3 linked regions of the Danio rerio genome follow. The protein of the gene in region 2 binds, or shares a complex with, the protein of the main gene of each other region. Links are inferred from orthologs where the notes say so. Each region holds a gene or a part of one and is shown on either strand. Other genes may lie near its edges.

What was found. The genes of interacting proteins can lie anywhere in the genome.
Region 1: the proteins of orc4 (region 2) and orc5 are in contact, whole or in part, in a cryo-EM structure (PDB 7JPO), measured with the Homo sapiens proteins. The link is inferred for Danio rerio from reciprocal best matches to the Homo sapiens genes ORC4 and ORC5. Residues at the interface, in NP_001177808.1 of Homo sapiens: Ser18, Gln21, Arg22, Arg25, Glu26, Cys29, Arg30, Gln31, Arg69, Thr74, Asn100, Leu102, Leu103, Gln104, Ile105, Ile109, Glu113, Arg116, Asp162, Arg277, Met281, Met284, Leu285, Asn288, Met311, Asp312, Ser313, Lys314, Asn316, Ile317; in NP_002544.1 of Homo sapiens: Ile17, Ser20, Leu21, Phe22, Gly23, Glu24, His26, His27, Phe28, Ser29, Phe30, Pro31, Tyr36, Gly37, His38, Thr39, Thr98, Phe99, Asn100, Val103, Arg104, Arg131, Glu134, Asn136, Pro139, Gly140, Arg143, Gln145, Glu146, Leu147.
Region 3: the proteins of orc4 (region 2) and orc3 are in contact, whole or in part, in a cryo-EM structure (PDB 7JPO), measured with the Homo sapiens proteins. The link is inferred for Danio rerio from reciprocal best matches to the Homo sapiens genes ORC4 and ORC3. Residues at the interface, in NP_001177808.1 of Homo sapiens: Pro370, Lys374, Glu377, Gln381, Ser392, Gly393, Asn394, Ser395, Gln396, Arg397; in NP_036513.2 of Homo sapiens: Thr227, His260, Arg261, Leu262, Leu263, Pro264, His265, Ala266, Ser269.

Annotation. Positions count from the first base shown.
Region 1 is NC_133179.1:22,959,898-22,965,221, forward strand, and holds the start of orc5 (origin recognition complex subunit 5), read right to left. Parts: upstream 3,459-5,324; 5' UTR 3,364-3,458; exon of another isoform or gene 3,276-3,363; intron 3,079-3,275; 5' UTR 3,076-3,078; coding exon 2,962-3,075; intron 1,527-2,961; coding exon 1,434-1,526; intron 683-1,433; coding exon 497-682; intron 1-496. UniProt on the Homo sapiens protein: Component of the origin recognition complex (ORC) that binds origins of replication. DNA-binding is ATP-dependent. The specific DNA sequences that define origins of replication have not been identified yet.
Region 2 is NC_133181.1:1,848,176-1,853,811, forward strand, and holds the start of orc4 (origin recognition complex subunit 4), read right to left. Parts: upstream 3,524-5,636; 5' UTR 3,476-3,523; intron 2,626-3,475; exon of another isoform or gene 2,602-2,625; 5' UTR 2,596-2,601; coding exon 2,545-2,595; intron 2,466-2,544; coding exon 2,389-2,465; intron 1,852-2,388; coding exon 1,761-1,851; intron 1-1,760. UniProt on the Homo sapiens protein: Component of the origin recognition complex (ORC) that binds origins of replication. DNA-binding is ATP-dependent. The specific DNA sequences that define origins of replication have not been identified yet.
Region 3 is NC_133192.1:55,406,135-55,411,453, forward strand, and holds the start of orc3 (origin recognition complex subunit 3), read right to left. Parts: upstream 3,459-5,319; 5' UTR 3,343-3,458; coding exon 3,307-3,342; intron 3,220-3,306; coding exon 3,165-3,219; intron 3,069-3,164; coding exon 2,977-3,068; intron 892-2,976; coding exon 759-891; intron 576-758; coding exon 471-575; intron 1-470. UniProt on the Homo sapiens protein: Component of the origin recognition complex (ORC) that binds origins of replication. DNA-binding is ATP-dependent. The specific DNA sequences that define origins of replication have not been identified yet.

The DNA of each region.
Region 1 (5,324 bases), on a different chromosome or scaffold from region 2:
AAAAGTGTGGAAAAAATAAGACACCTTTTAGGCGGTCAACATGTAATATTCTATATATTTTATTTAACCAAATGTTGGCGAAAATATGACTAAAAATGATCTAAAAATATTAATTATTTATACTCAACTGTTGTCTTTTTCTGCAAATAAATTATGCAAATGATAATAATATTATCATTTGAAATAAAAAAAAAACATGTTATCAGTAGTTTAAAAAATATATAATAAAAACACAAAACATCTATGAATGGCAAATCTAGATAACTGATAATATTTTTATTAATAATTACTGATAATATGCACACTGTGGCATGTATACTGCAATATATACATCTGCAATATTTTGATAATTATGTATATATATACATAATGTATACAGTATGTGTGTGTGTGTGTGTGTGTGTATTGCATAGCCCTAATAATAACACCAAAATACTGACAAATCTCCAAACATAAGCAAAACCATTGAATGTTAAATATTAGAATGAAAACTCACTATATAGCGTGTCTGTGTGGCAGGTGTGTTGGAGCTCATCTGTTTGTACAGGCGTACAAAATCTGACAAAGACGGACAACGCGGAAGCAAAGCAGCTGAATCTGGTCCGAAAAGGGCGGACAACACCTGGTAAAACAGCAGTCCAGCGGACACGCACTCCACACAGTCCACTGAAGCATGAGGAAGCTGCAAAACACACACAACACCAAAATACAGCCATTGTCTTTCACTTCTGACACTAAACATGTTTACTCAAGAAACCTAAAATGAAGGCAGAAAAACACTAAATGGATTTTTTAAATTGAAGTAGTTTTGTTAAAAACAAATCATCCTATGTTTATTATTTTTATATATAGTTATATATAGTTTATATATAGTTTATATTGTGATTGATAAATGATCAATTACTAAATCGCTAAAGATAGAGGCCTCATGCTGAACTGAACTTATTTATATATACTTATTAAATGGACAAAGCACAAACAAAATTAAGTAAATAAAAACCTTTTTTTGTATGCAATTGCTTAACAGCACTAATATTAGATTTCCATAAGTCCCAAAACAGACAATTAATCCTCAAAGCTATTAATCGTCAGACAGATTTCATAACTGTGATGGCCCTAGCAAAAACATAAACATCACTTCTAACAGATGCATTACTAATGAAAAACAAATAAACAAGTTCAGCTCGAAATCAAAAAACCTGTTTGACTTACTTTGATATCCTCTGATAACAAAGCATTAGTCTGTGCCCATCATACACGACATCTGCAGCCTGATTCTGACTTATAGCTTAGCAGCATTGATTGTCAATATGGGAGGTGGGGGGGATATCTAGGCAAAAGTGATGTAATGTGCTTCTTCACCTGCATAAATGAGGACTTCTCCAGTTATATGGAAACTCGGGTTTCCATATAATCCTTTTTCATTATCTTACCTCCAGATCCTTCATGATGGTGAGCACCACATGACTCTTTCCCGTTGCTCTGTGCCCATAGATGAAAACTGAAGGATAGCTGTAGTGATCTGGCTGTTAATCAACAGAATAACCACAATTCAAGTTAACAACGAACATGTGACATATCACAACTGTCACTATATAATGCAACAATGCCAGTGTGCAGCATTAAGACAAATTGAACAAGAGTGTTTTTTTAAGAACTATTTTAAATACACTTTTCATATTTATGTGCATGTGAGATAGATATATATATATATATATATATATATATAAAGAAATCATGAAATATTATTTTTTATTCAGTTTTTAAAATCATGTGAGCTTTTAATGAACATGGTAAAAGGTTATAGCATCACAAACTTTTTTTGTCATTTACATAAAGATTTTTTTTGTTTGTTTTCAAAAAATGAAATTGGTCAGAACAATTAAAACATTAACTGTTTTCATTTGTCATAATTTAAAAAAGCAGTGTTATTGCACCAATTAGTTCTTGAACTATTTTTATTGCCGTTTTATATATAATACGTCATTTTAAGTAAGCTATTATAGTACACTTCTTCAATTGATTTTAGTTCAGTAATTGTTAATTATATATATGTAGCTTCTATACATATATGTAATTATTTATATATTGTAGTATGTTTATGTATATTTACTTTCATATTTACATTAAGTTGCATTATTATTACATTTCTTCTACAGTTTATAATGGTGTTTTTTTTTACATTTGATTGTTTTTATTATTTCTATAATTTATTACAAGAACATAAACAACAGTTAAGTATAAAGTAAACTATAACAAAAAATAATAATTCTGCCATTTAACTTTTTTATTATTATTATTGCAAGAACGATACAAACAAAACAATGCCAGAGGTATTAAAATAATAAAAAAACTAAATGAAATAAAATAATAGAAAAGGCTTAAAAAATATTACAATTAAATAATGCTAGGCCTTGCTAACTCACATTAACTTAAAAGTGTCAAACAAATACACGGTTTAAACAGCTATTTTGTTAGTACTTCCCTTAATGGTATTTATATAAATATTTAGTTCTTTAAGTACCACTAAAACAGAGGTTTCTGATTGCTAAATTAACATCGATGACATACATAATATCGATACATAACATAAGCTTCATTTTCCAACTTCTTATCATGGTTAAACCAAAAATAACATATTCATACAGTAAAAGAAAATTTGACAGCACTTAATCGTTTATAAATTTAGATACCTTCCCCCATAACAGTTTTGTGTATTGACAATGCCAGAAAATATAAGGTACTGTTTCTGGGTGAGATGAGCAAAACAATTGACATCCATTTTTTTAATACATCTGGTTAAAAAAAATGCTTAACAGGGTAAAATTAGTGTACTATCTTAAATGAGATTTCTTTGATTTTATTTGTAATTAAATATTTATTAGGTAATACCAAAAGTTTCCTCCAATCAGTATTTTGAGTAAACCAATAGAAAATTACATATTCTGCCATTTAACTTACCTGCCCCATGAGTGACAGCAGTGACGTCACCTGTGTCTCCCTGCATGGCAGTTTTTCAGCAAGGGTGCGCAGTGTGTCTTCAGGATAACCGGGACACTGCAGAGTTACAGGCATCCTCTGATCACAGCAAAACACATGCATTTAGTAAAGTGATAAAAACTACAGATGATAAAAAGCTCGGTTTAAAACCTTGAGCGCACACAGGTGTTTGAACAAACTTAAATGCAAAACCTAGATGTAGATTAGATATCGCATTATTAAAAATGATGCGTTCATTATTGAAGATTAATAACCATAACTGCTAGAACCTATACTGAGAGATATTCACACGTGGTCAAACTAGCAAAGCCCTAAACATAACACTTTTAAGCAAAAACCAGTAACAACAAGAAACATAAAAACCTGATACTCGAGCAAGTTGTGTATCAGCAGAAAGACATTACAATTTTTGGTTATATATTTTCAGCTTTCTTCCTGCACGGTAAACTTCACATCAGTTTCCCCGCTCAAGTCGCAACATACGTCACAAGCCGCATGCGTCACTTCCGGATACGGTACTCTGGGATATGTAGTTCTTGGCAGTTGCTCTTAAATTAATTTTTTATAACGTTTGAATCGGAGAATCTTTGGTCATAATTCTCGCGAAACTCACAGAGACACAAAAACGATTTTGGATACAATTTTATATCGGACTCTGTTTGATCACAGAGTCATGCCAGCGTCTCTTTTCTGAATCTCTCCTGTATCTGCTATGCGGACGGGAGTGACAGACGCAGACTGAATATTCGGGTGTGCCTGAAATCTGCGCTGTTCGCTCGAGCGCGCCTCATTGACAACCACACGCGCGGAATGAATCTTTTCATCCCTGCTTTTTTGCACTGAGTCGACATCACTTTGGTCAGGTGCAGTGGGTTTTCTTGCTCCGAGATGTGCGCGCAGGATTAAATCGGATGGAGCAGTGGTGCGCCGTTAAGCCAGAAGCCGAGAGGAGAGCGACATTTGCGTGTTGCAACTGTCTGTGCGTGTAAATCTGAGAAGAATGGACACGCAAAATATGATGCAGTGCAAGTGTCGTCATCCCAGCATCCGTTATTTCTGTTGAACGCAACAGCACGGCGAGACTGATCACGGAAAATCAGTCTTTTCCCATAGTAGCCTCGTGGAAACGACCATTTGGACTGTACAAGGTAGATTATTGCTTATATAAATGTACCCTTTAGTATATATATGTCTCATTCGCACACCATCCAAGCATTAATTTATTCGGGTCATCATTAAGTATTCATACTGACATTTGCGTTGGGAATATTATCTATGATGCGCTGGAATGCGTCGTCGTCATATGAGCAGTGTTTTCCTATGAGTTTAGTCATTATTTTTATGCTGTCCCGAGTGTGATTATTCACCTTAATGAGATTGCTTGGCTGAATGATGCGGATGCACAGACACTGAATGAGAGGAGAGCTGGAAGAGAACATCATTGGAGTCACGGACAGACTGCCACATCCACGCTGAACGAATCACTGTGACATCTGGCACCAAAACTGCTTAGTCTGTCGCGACATCTGTGAGCTGTTCTGTCTATACTTGAGTTTAGCTGGCACCCCAGGCAACAACCAAGTCCGGATTGAATATACAGAGGACCAAAAGTCCAAACTAAATGCAGAAAGGAGAGAGTCTACACTGAAACTACAGATGAGCTGGACCTGGACTGAATCCAGATAGGATCTGAATCCAAGCTGCATCTGAAAAGGACCAGATTGGGACTAAATCCAGACAGGGTCTGAATCCACACCGAATCCAAAAAGGACCAGATTAGGAATAAATTCAGATTAAATCTGAATCCACAATAAATCCATAAAGGAGCTAAATCTGAGCTGAATCCAGATTCTGGATAATTTTTTGCATCCACACTGAATCCATAAAGGATCTAAATCTGGACTACATTTGAATCCTGACGGACCCGAGTGCAGTTAAAACTGAATCCAGATAAATCAAGATAAAAAAATCAGAGCAAAATCCAGCTTCAATCCAGTCAAAATCCACAAAGGATTTGAGTACAATTTGAATCCACATTGGATCTAAATGAAGGCTGAAATTACATCTAGAGTTATTCTAGAGCAATTTTTAAATTGAGTCTGAATCCAAAGAAGACCTAAATTTGAATTCAGAATTTAGAGCTTGGCTCTAGATATAATCCAGAAAGGAACCTAATCCAGACTGAATCCATAAAGGACCTACATCTGAACTAAATCCAGATCGGATCAGAGTTTGGTTTGAATCTACAAACTGAATCCTATTTCTAGATTAAATTTAGATAATCCAGTCTCAATCCAAGTAGGACCTCTAAATATACAGATTGA
Region 2 (5,636 bases):
TTTATATTTATATTCATTTCTCAGACAACACAATGCCAATGTTTTACAGAAGAGTACAAAAACTATATAAATGTCAAATACAGTTGAAACCAGAAGTCTACATACACTCTAAAAAAGGAACATAACCATTTTTTTTATGTCTGATGGTAAATCACTAAATGTTTACTATTTTAGGTCCGTTAGGATTAACTAAATCATTTACATTTGCTAAAGGCCAGAATAAGGAGAGGACTTTTTTTTTGAGAATTTTTTATTCATTTCTAGACAGTCAAAAGTTTACACACACTGCCTTGGTGTTTCTTAGCTTTGCTTTTAAACTGTATAACTTTGGTTAAATGTTTTGGGTCTCCTTCCACAAGCTTCTCACAATTTTTTTTTGGGGGGGGGGGGGGATTTGCCCCACTCCTCCTGACAGAATTGGTGTAACTGAGTCAGATTTGTAGGCTGTCTTGCTCACACAAGCTTTTTCATCTCTTCCCACACATTTTCTATAGGATTGACATCAGGGCTTTGTGATGGCCACTCCAAAACATTCACTCTGTTGTCCTTAAAGCACATTTGAACTAATTTGGCAGTATGCTTAGGGTCATGGTCTGTTTGGAAGAGCCATTTGTGGCCAAGTTTTAATCTCCTGGCTGATGTCTTGAGATGTTGCTTCAGTATTTCTCCATAATGTTCTGTCTTCATGATGCCAACTATGCTGTGAAGTGTACCAGTCCCTCCTGCAGCAAAACAGCCCCACATGATGCTGCCGCCCCCATACTTCACAGTAGGGATGGTGATCCAAGGCTTGTAAGCTTTCCTCTTTGTCCTCCAGATGTAACACTGCTCATTATGGCCAAACGGTTCAATTTTAGCTCCATCAGATCACAGGACATGTCTCAATAAATTTAGTTTTTTCCCCAGTGTCATTTAGCTAATTGTAATCTGGCTTTGTTGTTGATTCTGGCTTGTTGATTTTCCCATGTTGGTACACAAGGAATCAGTGTGTTTGAGCTTTTCCTTCAATACTATTCTACAGTTGTGTCTCCAATGAACTCAAATATGGTCAATTAGCCAATCAGAAACTTCCAGAACCTTGACACCATCATCTGAGCTTTTCCAGAGGCAGAATTATGTTACTGTATGTAAACTTGACTTTTAAGAAAAGTTATAGCAATTTCTCAAACAATATCGCTCTCATTATTCTGCTATTAAGCAGAACAGGAATATTTGATCATCCTAACTTACCTAAAAAAGAAAAAGTTTAATCACATTAACATCTGACTCTTTAAGTAAATTTTTTAATGCCTTTTTATACAGTGTAAGTAAACTTCTGGTTTCAACTGTATATATTATTAGAATGACTGTATATGGTAAATATAAATATATATTTTGGCTGGAAGGGCATCAGCTGTGTAAAACATATGCTGGAATAGTTGGCAGTTCATTCCACTGTGGCAACCCCTGATAAATAATGGAACTAAGCCGAAGGAAAATGGATGAATGAATAAAAAAGTACAAAAATGCCATGTTATTTTTATGTACTGCAATAAAAGACTACATAAATTATTTAATTGTATTATGTCATTATTTTATTAGGGTAAACATTTTCAAGGTTTGTATAACAAATGAATGTTGCAGCATAAACCTTCTTAAATCATTTCTTCTATTATGTGTCATATAAAGATATTTAATAAGACATGAGGGTGAGTAAATGATGATATCTGCATTTAATTTTTATTTTTTGATTTCTTTTATCAGCCGTCAGTAAATCATACCATAGTTTTACCAGATCCTCGAGGACCGACGATGAGAACCGAGTTACTTTCTCCATGAACAGCAGTTCGTCTCAGCAGCTCCAGCAGGTGCCTGAACACACACACACTGCTTAAGTACACATATACAAACACAAAAAAACACAGGGCAGGAATACACACAAACACACAGGAAAAGAATATACACACACACACACACACATACAGGGACTAAGAATCCACCGACACAAAAGAATACATTAGAATACACACATTCAGATTAAGCATTCAAGATCACACACAAAAACAAGACAGGGTAAGAATACACACACAAACATGCACGTAGTTTCAAGCATTCAAGTTAACACATACACACACAGGGACTAGGAATCCACCGACACACAAGAATACGTTAGAATACACACACTCAAATCAAGAATTCAAGTTAACACACAAACACAAGACAGGGTAAGAACACAAACACACACAGATTCCCAATGTAAGACACACACACAGGGGGTAGGAATCCACACACACACGGGAAACTATTCACATTCACACAAACACATACAGGTTATGCGTTCAGATCCACACACACACACACACACACACACACACACACACACACACATAGTTAATGAAGTGAACACACTTGTACTGTGAGTCGAGGCCTATGGGCTGATCTGGCAACTTCTGATGACACAATCTCTCCCGCAGGAGCTCCTGAACCTGAACACACACACACACACACACATCAGCAATACACAACATTACAACATCTGGAATAACATGAGGAAGGAGGACAGACCAGAGAGACACACTGGACATCAGAGAGAGCGGCTGGCCTTCGCTTGCTCATCTTCACCTACACACACACACACACACACATCTGCATTAATAACACACAAGAATAATAATGATGTTGATGATGAATGATGATGACAACCTCAATTTATACACATTCTCAAACTGACATTGGACTGTGTGTGTGTGTGTGTGTGTGTGTGTGTGTGTGTGTGTGTGTGTGTGTGTGTGTGTGTGTGTGTATATATATATATATATATATATATATATATATATATATATATGAGTTTGTGTGTCTGAATTTATGTACCTGAAATATATTACAACTGACACATTTCTTAAGAAAAACTGTGACAGCAGTCAAAAACACAGTAATATTGTACTGTAACAGATAAATACAGTCTGTAAATGAAACATTATAAATAAAATAATATAGCTTATCACATGACTACACAAGAATATAACTATAATAAAGCATTATAACAAGAAAAAAAGCATAGACCACATGAACAAATCACTATTTCGTGTTTTATTAATATTTTAATTACTCTTCGCTAGATTATTTTTCCATAAAATAACCAAAACAAGCTTATTTCATGTTATTTCATAAATGATATGAAGGCTGCATAAGAAACAACATACAGTTCACCTCGGTCTGTCTTTATTATGTTATTTTACTGCCTCTTAATGTCGTACATTGATGTTTTCAGCATTAAACTGTTCGTTGTGTGACATGATTAACTTAGCTCTCAGTTTAACGTTATTTCCACCCTCCGTCTTTTTGTATTTGCTAAACCCATTAACGTTACTTAAAGACAACTTGAAACACTGTTTAAAACCGTTCAAGATTAAGTTTTGGCAAGTAATTACGTAAAACACGTATATAGACGTGAATAAATCAAGTTAAATACTGAATTGTACATATATAAACTCACCCATATATGCTCCGTGATTTCGCGCCACTAGCTTCCATCTTGCTCTACGTAGTTCCGGCGCTACTCTATTTCCGTTGTAAACATTAATTGCGGACGATAGAGGTCGCCCTGTGGCCCATACAACTGATAATCACGGTAGGCTTTATGATAGGTGGATTTTTAAGTACTTCAAACTTAATAGTAGTCAATTATACAGTGGCTTTCGGTTTAATAATTACAGGGTGAATGCATAAAATAAGTATCCTAAATTAACTGTTCCACATTAAACTTAAAAAATAGAGAATTTTGTTTTATTTTGGTACATAGATATTTACATTAGATGTCGCTTACCCTGTTGTTGTCTATTGGAAGGTATGCGTTAATAGAGCCGCCATTTTAGTACAGGGTAGCGCTTCTTTGAAATAAATGCAGGACCAAGAAGCAGTGGAGGACTGGCCATCCAGAGCCAGAGATATATACAACTGTAAGAGTTGAAATATTGCAAATATTTTGATATCTTTGACAATTCAAAACATGAGCTGAAAACAGAGACTGGTGACTTAACAACCCAGCAGGTGGGAATGCGGGAAAAACTAGTTCCTGCTGCATTTGCATCTGAGTCTGCTGAAACTCGACTTCATCCACCCATCTCTCACATATGGTCATTTAATGTTTGAATGTTCTAGATTAACCAAACTGACTTTAACTATCATGTTTGATATAATTTGAAATGTCTCAGTGCGATTGGTACAATGGCCTCATTCTCTCAGAAATAGACCTAATCAAAACAATAAATATATAACTTCAGGCATCTTTTGAACCACTGTGAAGGGTGTGACTTTTCCACTAAGTGTGAAAGCCTTTTGTTATGCACACACCCCCTTCCTTGAGGGAATTCTTGGATTATTTAAGGCAAGGTCTGAGAAAGGTTCAGCGCGATTCTGCCTACCCAGATCAGCCCATAACATGGAGCCTGCTCCTAGTTATGTATAGTTTTTAAGTCAGGTATGCATCTTTCATCTTGGATTTATCTTTGATAATTTGATGTTTTGTATTGATCATTTATGAATTGACTGATTGAATTGGCATAATACATTTACCTGACTAATAAATTGTAATGTTTGACCATATTTGGCTCACTCTGTAATTATTAGTTCTAGTAGATTACGCTGTATCCTTGTTTCCGCACGTCTTGTGTCAGGTCAGTAGACGGACTAAAATCCAGTTGAGATGGAGCATTGGCACACTAATTGTGTTTAAGGGATCCGACTGACTCTTGATATTGATTCATGTGTACTTAGGTGGAAAGGGCGATAACTTCCGTCTAGGTCAACAAGGTGTTGCACGACTAACCTAGATTGGGTACCCGACCTTTGTTTGAAGGTAATATTATTCTAAATTAAGTTCATATGGGAAACCATGGGCTTGGTGAAAACCAAAGTTACTATAGAGTCCAGTAGTCGGGTACATTTATATTAATGCCCTAACCTCTAATTAGAAATCATGATTGTCTTAACTCAAAGGTGTACATCTAAGCGGGACTAACTAAAGTATTTTAGAACGAGCGCGCTGGTAGGGGCCATCTAAAGTATTAGTCAATTTACCTCTGTTTAATATTCAAGACTGACCGGAGTGTGACCGTGAGGGACGCCTTCGGCCGAGGCGATTTCTCTGAGCGACATGAGCACCCGAATGAACGGATGTAATAGTTACTAGTGAAGACAAAAGGTTCAAACATTTATCTAAATTACATATTGATATAATCTTCTTAATGTTTTATAATTGGAGTCAGATAAAACGAGGATAAATATATTAATATTCTAAACCACCTCATATTAAATTGGAGTCAGATATGAGCTAAGTTTAATATAAATCAACATTGTGCACTGGAAAGACCGAACAGGCATTAAACCTTCATCCACCAGTGGATACCGGCATTGGGCCAACTGGGTGGACCTTACACAACCCACATAGCAAACGGACTTGGCCCAAATGTGGCCTCGTTACGGCACTGCTGGCGTGTTGCCACAGTGCAAAATGTCAGCCGAATGTGGGCCATGCATGACAGCAAACAACAATTGGGCCAGTTGTGGATGGGAGGTGTGTGGCCAGATGATTGTAGCAATTGGTCGCATTGTTTAGGTAACATTAGGCTGGGTAATGGCTCAGTTTTTGGGGTTTC
Region 3 (5,319 bases), on a different chromosome or scaffold from region 2:
TGATCGAAATTTGAGCATAAATTTCGATCGATTTCGATTTTCACCCCTAATAAGTACATAGTGCATGAGTGCATAGTGTGCCATTTGGGACGCAGCTTATGTTTGTTTTGCTTTCAGTTTAGCGGTAGTCACAGCAAGGAACTGCCGCCACCTATTTGTTGTAAGTTTCAGTTCTCTGCTGCCTCATTTCCGATCCATTAAACCTTATTTGAGTGATATATTGTGTTATATTTCATTATCAGGGACAAAACGATTTCCGTATCGCAAGATAACCTGTGATTCCCACCCCTTATGAACATTATAGAACTACACATTATCATTGTATTATATGCACAGTGCAGCCCACTTACAGAAGATTTGAAAATCTGCAATTATAAGGTACAAACACATCCTTAAATGCAGATCAGGCATTCTGTACCACTGACAGGATTTCAGTCAGATTGAATAGTTTTCTCGGGTTGTATGCATACCTGCACATTCCTTGGCATGAACAGATACCACAAATGGAGTGACCGAATCCTGAAGGAGATTACACAGACTGCGAAATGTCATGGCATGATCTGGAACATTTACCCCTGGAAGACAATAACAAGTTTTTAAAAAGACTAGTTATAAAGACACCATTGTGTATAAAATAAGTCTCAGGATGTAAAATGCAAACTATGTTTCACAGCTGCTTCTCATTTTAAAATGAATCACAGATCTGCACCTAAAAAATCTATATTTCAGAAAATCTCAAAATCGAACTCATGCCTTACCTAGCATTAGGGCAGCTGTGGGGATTTCACTTGTTCTCTGCCTCCAGACATCAGATGAGGAGCCCAGCTCGTGCTTTTTAATGAACTCAACAAGACTGTCGAGCACCTTTTTATTCAGCTGATTTTGTATTTCCTGTAATACATACATGATGTATGAGCAAATGAATAAAGAAAAGAACTGAAAGGCTTGCTAAAATTTATTTAGCCAGACAAACAAAATAAGGAAACTCACAACAGTTTACTAAAGTAAATTATAAAGTATACTACACTATTTACTATTGCTTATCAGTTCACTATATTTAAAACAAGATGTCGTAGCACTCATTACCAAATCGTTTTTTTGTTTTTGTGATAAAATTTTTATTGAACAGTTGAAAATAATATTGTATATAGTTATAGACAAGGATACCAACCAACTATGTTTCTTATTATTACCCAACCCCACCCACCCCTGGCGAAAATAATAATAAATAATCCGCTTGTTAATTGTGACGTCACACGAAGCGGCTTCCGAGTCCAAGCGCTCTGTTCAACTGAATGGGGAGACTCATGAAATAGTAACAATAAACGTTTACAAAGCGATTTAATACTTTCGAAAAATCACGATCGCAGTATATATGTCCATGCCCAATATCCGATGGCCAGAAAGTGATTATTTTTTTATAAACTGTTAAATTTTTGGTATTTGTTATGCAGCAAGCCCACAGATTGTTGTGTACACTATGATTCTACATAAAATTAACTTTAATGTGTGATAGGAATAAAACGTGATCATAAACAAATGATTTCTCCACTCAAATGAACGACCCGGAAAGGGTAATACATACGTCACAAACACGTCACCACTTAACAAAAAGGAAATAAATCAGGGCCAAAAACTAAACGAGGGAATAATAATAATAGTTTAAAAAAAGGTAGAATACATAAATAAATAAATACGTAAACAAATAAATTAACCTCTGCATTTAACTTCTTACAAAAACACTTTGAATAAAGGTAGAAACATTGGACTTTTACACAGAGGTTAAATGAAATGCAAAGAAAAAAAAAAAAATCACAGCAGCATAGCTTTTTTTTTTTTTTGTAATTCTACTTTTTTATTGTTCAACAGCCCAGAACAAGGAACACACTTTACCCTACACATACATATGATACATGTTACATATTCAGCCTCGTACACCAAGAAAATTCAACAAAGAATAACAATGTACAGCAAACATATATGGAAATGAAGGTTGTGGTACCTTTGAATGTACATACTCATTTATCCTAATTTTAAATGTTGCCAAAGATTATCCCAATTTCTATGTACTTCTCCCTCCATGTTCAGTCTCCCCAGCATACACTCATATGATGCAATTTCAATCATCCCATTAATCCACTCCTTCATCTCTGCCATTGTGGCCGGCATAGCTTTTATCTTAGTTATTGCACATATCCATGAAGTAATAGTTTTTGTAGAAGCGCCATGCATCCTTGCCGCAGACAGTACCATATTTGCGATGTCCAAGAACATATACATCAAATTGTCGTAAATGCTAATTAAGGTAAAATTGCTGATAGATAGATAGATAGATAGATAGATAGATAGATAGATAGATAGATAGATAGATAGATAGATAGATAGATAGATAGATAGATAGATAGATAGATGGACAGACAGTAAGACAGACAGACAGACAACTTGATAGATAGACAGACAGACAGATAGACAACTTGATAGACAGACAGACAGACAGACAGACAACTTGATAGATAGATAGATAGATAGATAGATAGATAGATAGATAGATAGATAGATAGATAGATAGATAGATAGATAGATAGACAGACAGTAAGACAGACAGACAGACAACTTGATAGATAGACAGACAGACAGATAGACAACTTGATAGACAGACAGACAGACAACTTGATAGATAGATAGATAGATAGATAGATAGATAGATAGATAGATAGATAGATAGATAGATAGATAGATAGATAGATAGATGGACAGACAGTAAGACAGACAGACAGACAACTTGATAGATAGACAGACAGACAGATAGACAACTTGATAGACAGACAGACAGACAGACAACTTGATAGATAGATAGATAGATAGATAGATAGATAGATAGATAGATAGATAGATAGATAGATAGATAGATAGAACTGTAGTTCAAAAACACACTATTTACTACAGTATTTTTTTCCATGTGGCAAACATACATACCTCAGTGCTTGTCTGAACCGTCTCCCATAACTTCTGGCAGATCCTAAATCGATCCCTGCCGCTGTCGTCGTCAGCCTCCACTAAATATTCGTCTACATGTAATGAATAAAAATAGTGATCGTTGAAAGAAGTACGTGTGTATGGAAGTGAAGACGTTGATATTTGTAATAATGACAATCATTACTTACCAAGACCTACATGTCGCTTTCTCTTTTTAGAGGCTGACTTAAAAACAAAACATCCCTGAAATACATATAACGATCTGTAAGTCTGGACGCGTGTCAAGTTTAATAAGTTATCATGCATTTATTGCAGACAGCGCTCATTTACCTTTGACACTGATGAAGTCGTGAGTGTTTCGTTCATTTCTTTTCTTAAAAAAACATATAATTTGACAAACTTTCAGTAAACCATGCGTTTCAGTTACCGCTTTTTCGTCTTCTTCTTTGTAAGTCGGCAAACCAACAAGTGCCTATACTGCCATCTAGCAACTAGCGTCGATGTCAAGGGGAAAATGATCCATTAATAACAACATTAACCTTACAAATAATCAATCTTTCAATCTAATCAGCCCCCTGTCTTTAAGATATCTAAATAGTATGTAAAATATGTCTTTTTTTTGAGTAAGATTTGATTAATTCCTATATGTGGGGCGTAACGGTGGCGCAGTGGGTAGCACGATCGCCTCACACCAAGAAGGTTGCTGGTTCGAGCCTCAGCTGGGTCATTTCTGTGTGGATTTTGCATGTTCTTCCCGTGTTCGTGTGGGTTTCCTCCAGGTGTACCTGATTTCCCTCACAGTCTAAAGATATGCGCTATAGGTGAATATAATAAACGAAATTGGCCATAGTGTTTAAGTCTGTGGGTGTTTCCCAGTACTAGGCTGCATGTGAATATCAAAAGCATACATTTTGAAGCGCATATGTGTACTTTATCAAGCATACAACTCGAATAAACTACTTTAGATACGAATATTAGGGGTTTGAGTCTATGCAGTATTTTCATTCATTCATTCATTCATTTTCTTGTCAACTTAGTTATTAATATTATTACCTCTCATGTCGATCCAGGGTCTGGGTCAGGGTTGAAGTGTCTGAGTCAATAAATCTTGTAACAGGTGTGCATCATGGCTCAGTTCTCAGACTGCTTGTCTTTTTTATCTACATGGCAGCATCACTAGCATCACTGTTTTTCAGAAACATGACTTTACATAGATTGGAGTAGCTGAACACATAATAATTGGTGCTATGCAGAGGGAGCGTATAGCTCTTAACATGAAATGTCACACCCCCACAGTACATGGCTCGGGCATATAACCACTTGAGTCACATGCATCTTTTCCCCTCAAGTGTTTTCTTGTGTCAATCTCTGTTGAAAAAAGGCACTGTGCACTGAAATGGATAAATGGGCCAGAGTTAGTTTAATTGTTAAAGTGTAAAAGTCCAGGTTTTTAGCACACTCCTCATTGATAAGACAGACATGTTATAGCGGTTCAGCTGCAGCTTTTCTTTCAAGTTTTGAAGTTGACAGATTTGACTGACATAAAGAATCATATTAAGACAATGTCTGATACAAAATAGGATTGAAGTTGCAGAAGCTACTACTAGCCTACTTGTACTGTAACTTGTAGGTTTAATTCCCCTAGTAGCAAAGAATTCTGGCCCAGATTTGGCATAAAGCTGGCACAGCAGGCATTCATCCGGCACTGGCATACAGCATGTGGGCCAAACATGGCCCGGGTTTGGCAGAGGTGGCACCGTCTTTAAGGCGGCACACAAGATTTGGGCCAGATGAAAAACGTAGTATTTGGCCCAGATTTAAAAATTTGATAAGTGGGCCATGTGAGTTTGGCCAGTCTTGACCCACATTTAAAATACACTAAAATCATTTTTGAGTAAAGAAAAAAAATTCTACCAATCAGGTCACTTTGAGAAAAAGCGTGCCCATAGTGTGCCTAAAGCGCATCACTCCATGGATTTATCAATTTAATTGCAATCGTGACACACCAACCTATCTGGCCCAGTTCAGGCCCAGTTATGAGTTATTAACTTGGCTGAGACTCGGCCCAGATATGGTCCGTGTTTGGCCCTTGTCTGGAAGCCAGATTTGGTCCAGTCATGTACCGTAATTCACTGCGGCATGTGGGCCAAGCAAAACCTGAATGTGTGGGCCACAGTTGGGCCAGAGAAATTTTGCTATGTGGGTCGTGTAATGTTTTCAAAAAATGATTATCCAAAGCTACAGAAAGGATACCAACACACAACAGTGAAATGCTGCCATTGTTATATCATCAGTTCTACAGTATGTTCTTATCTTGCTGACAATTCTTCTTTGGCAGAGCTA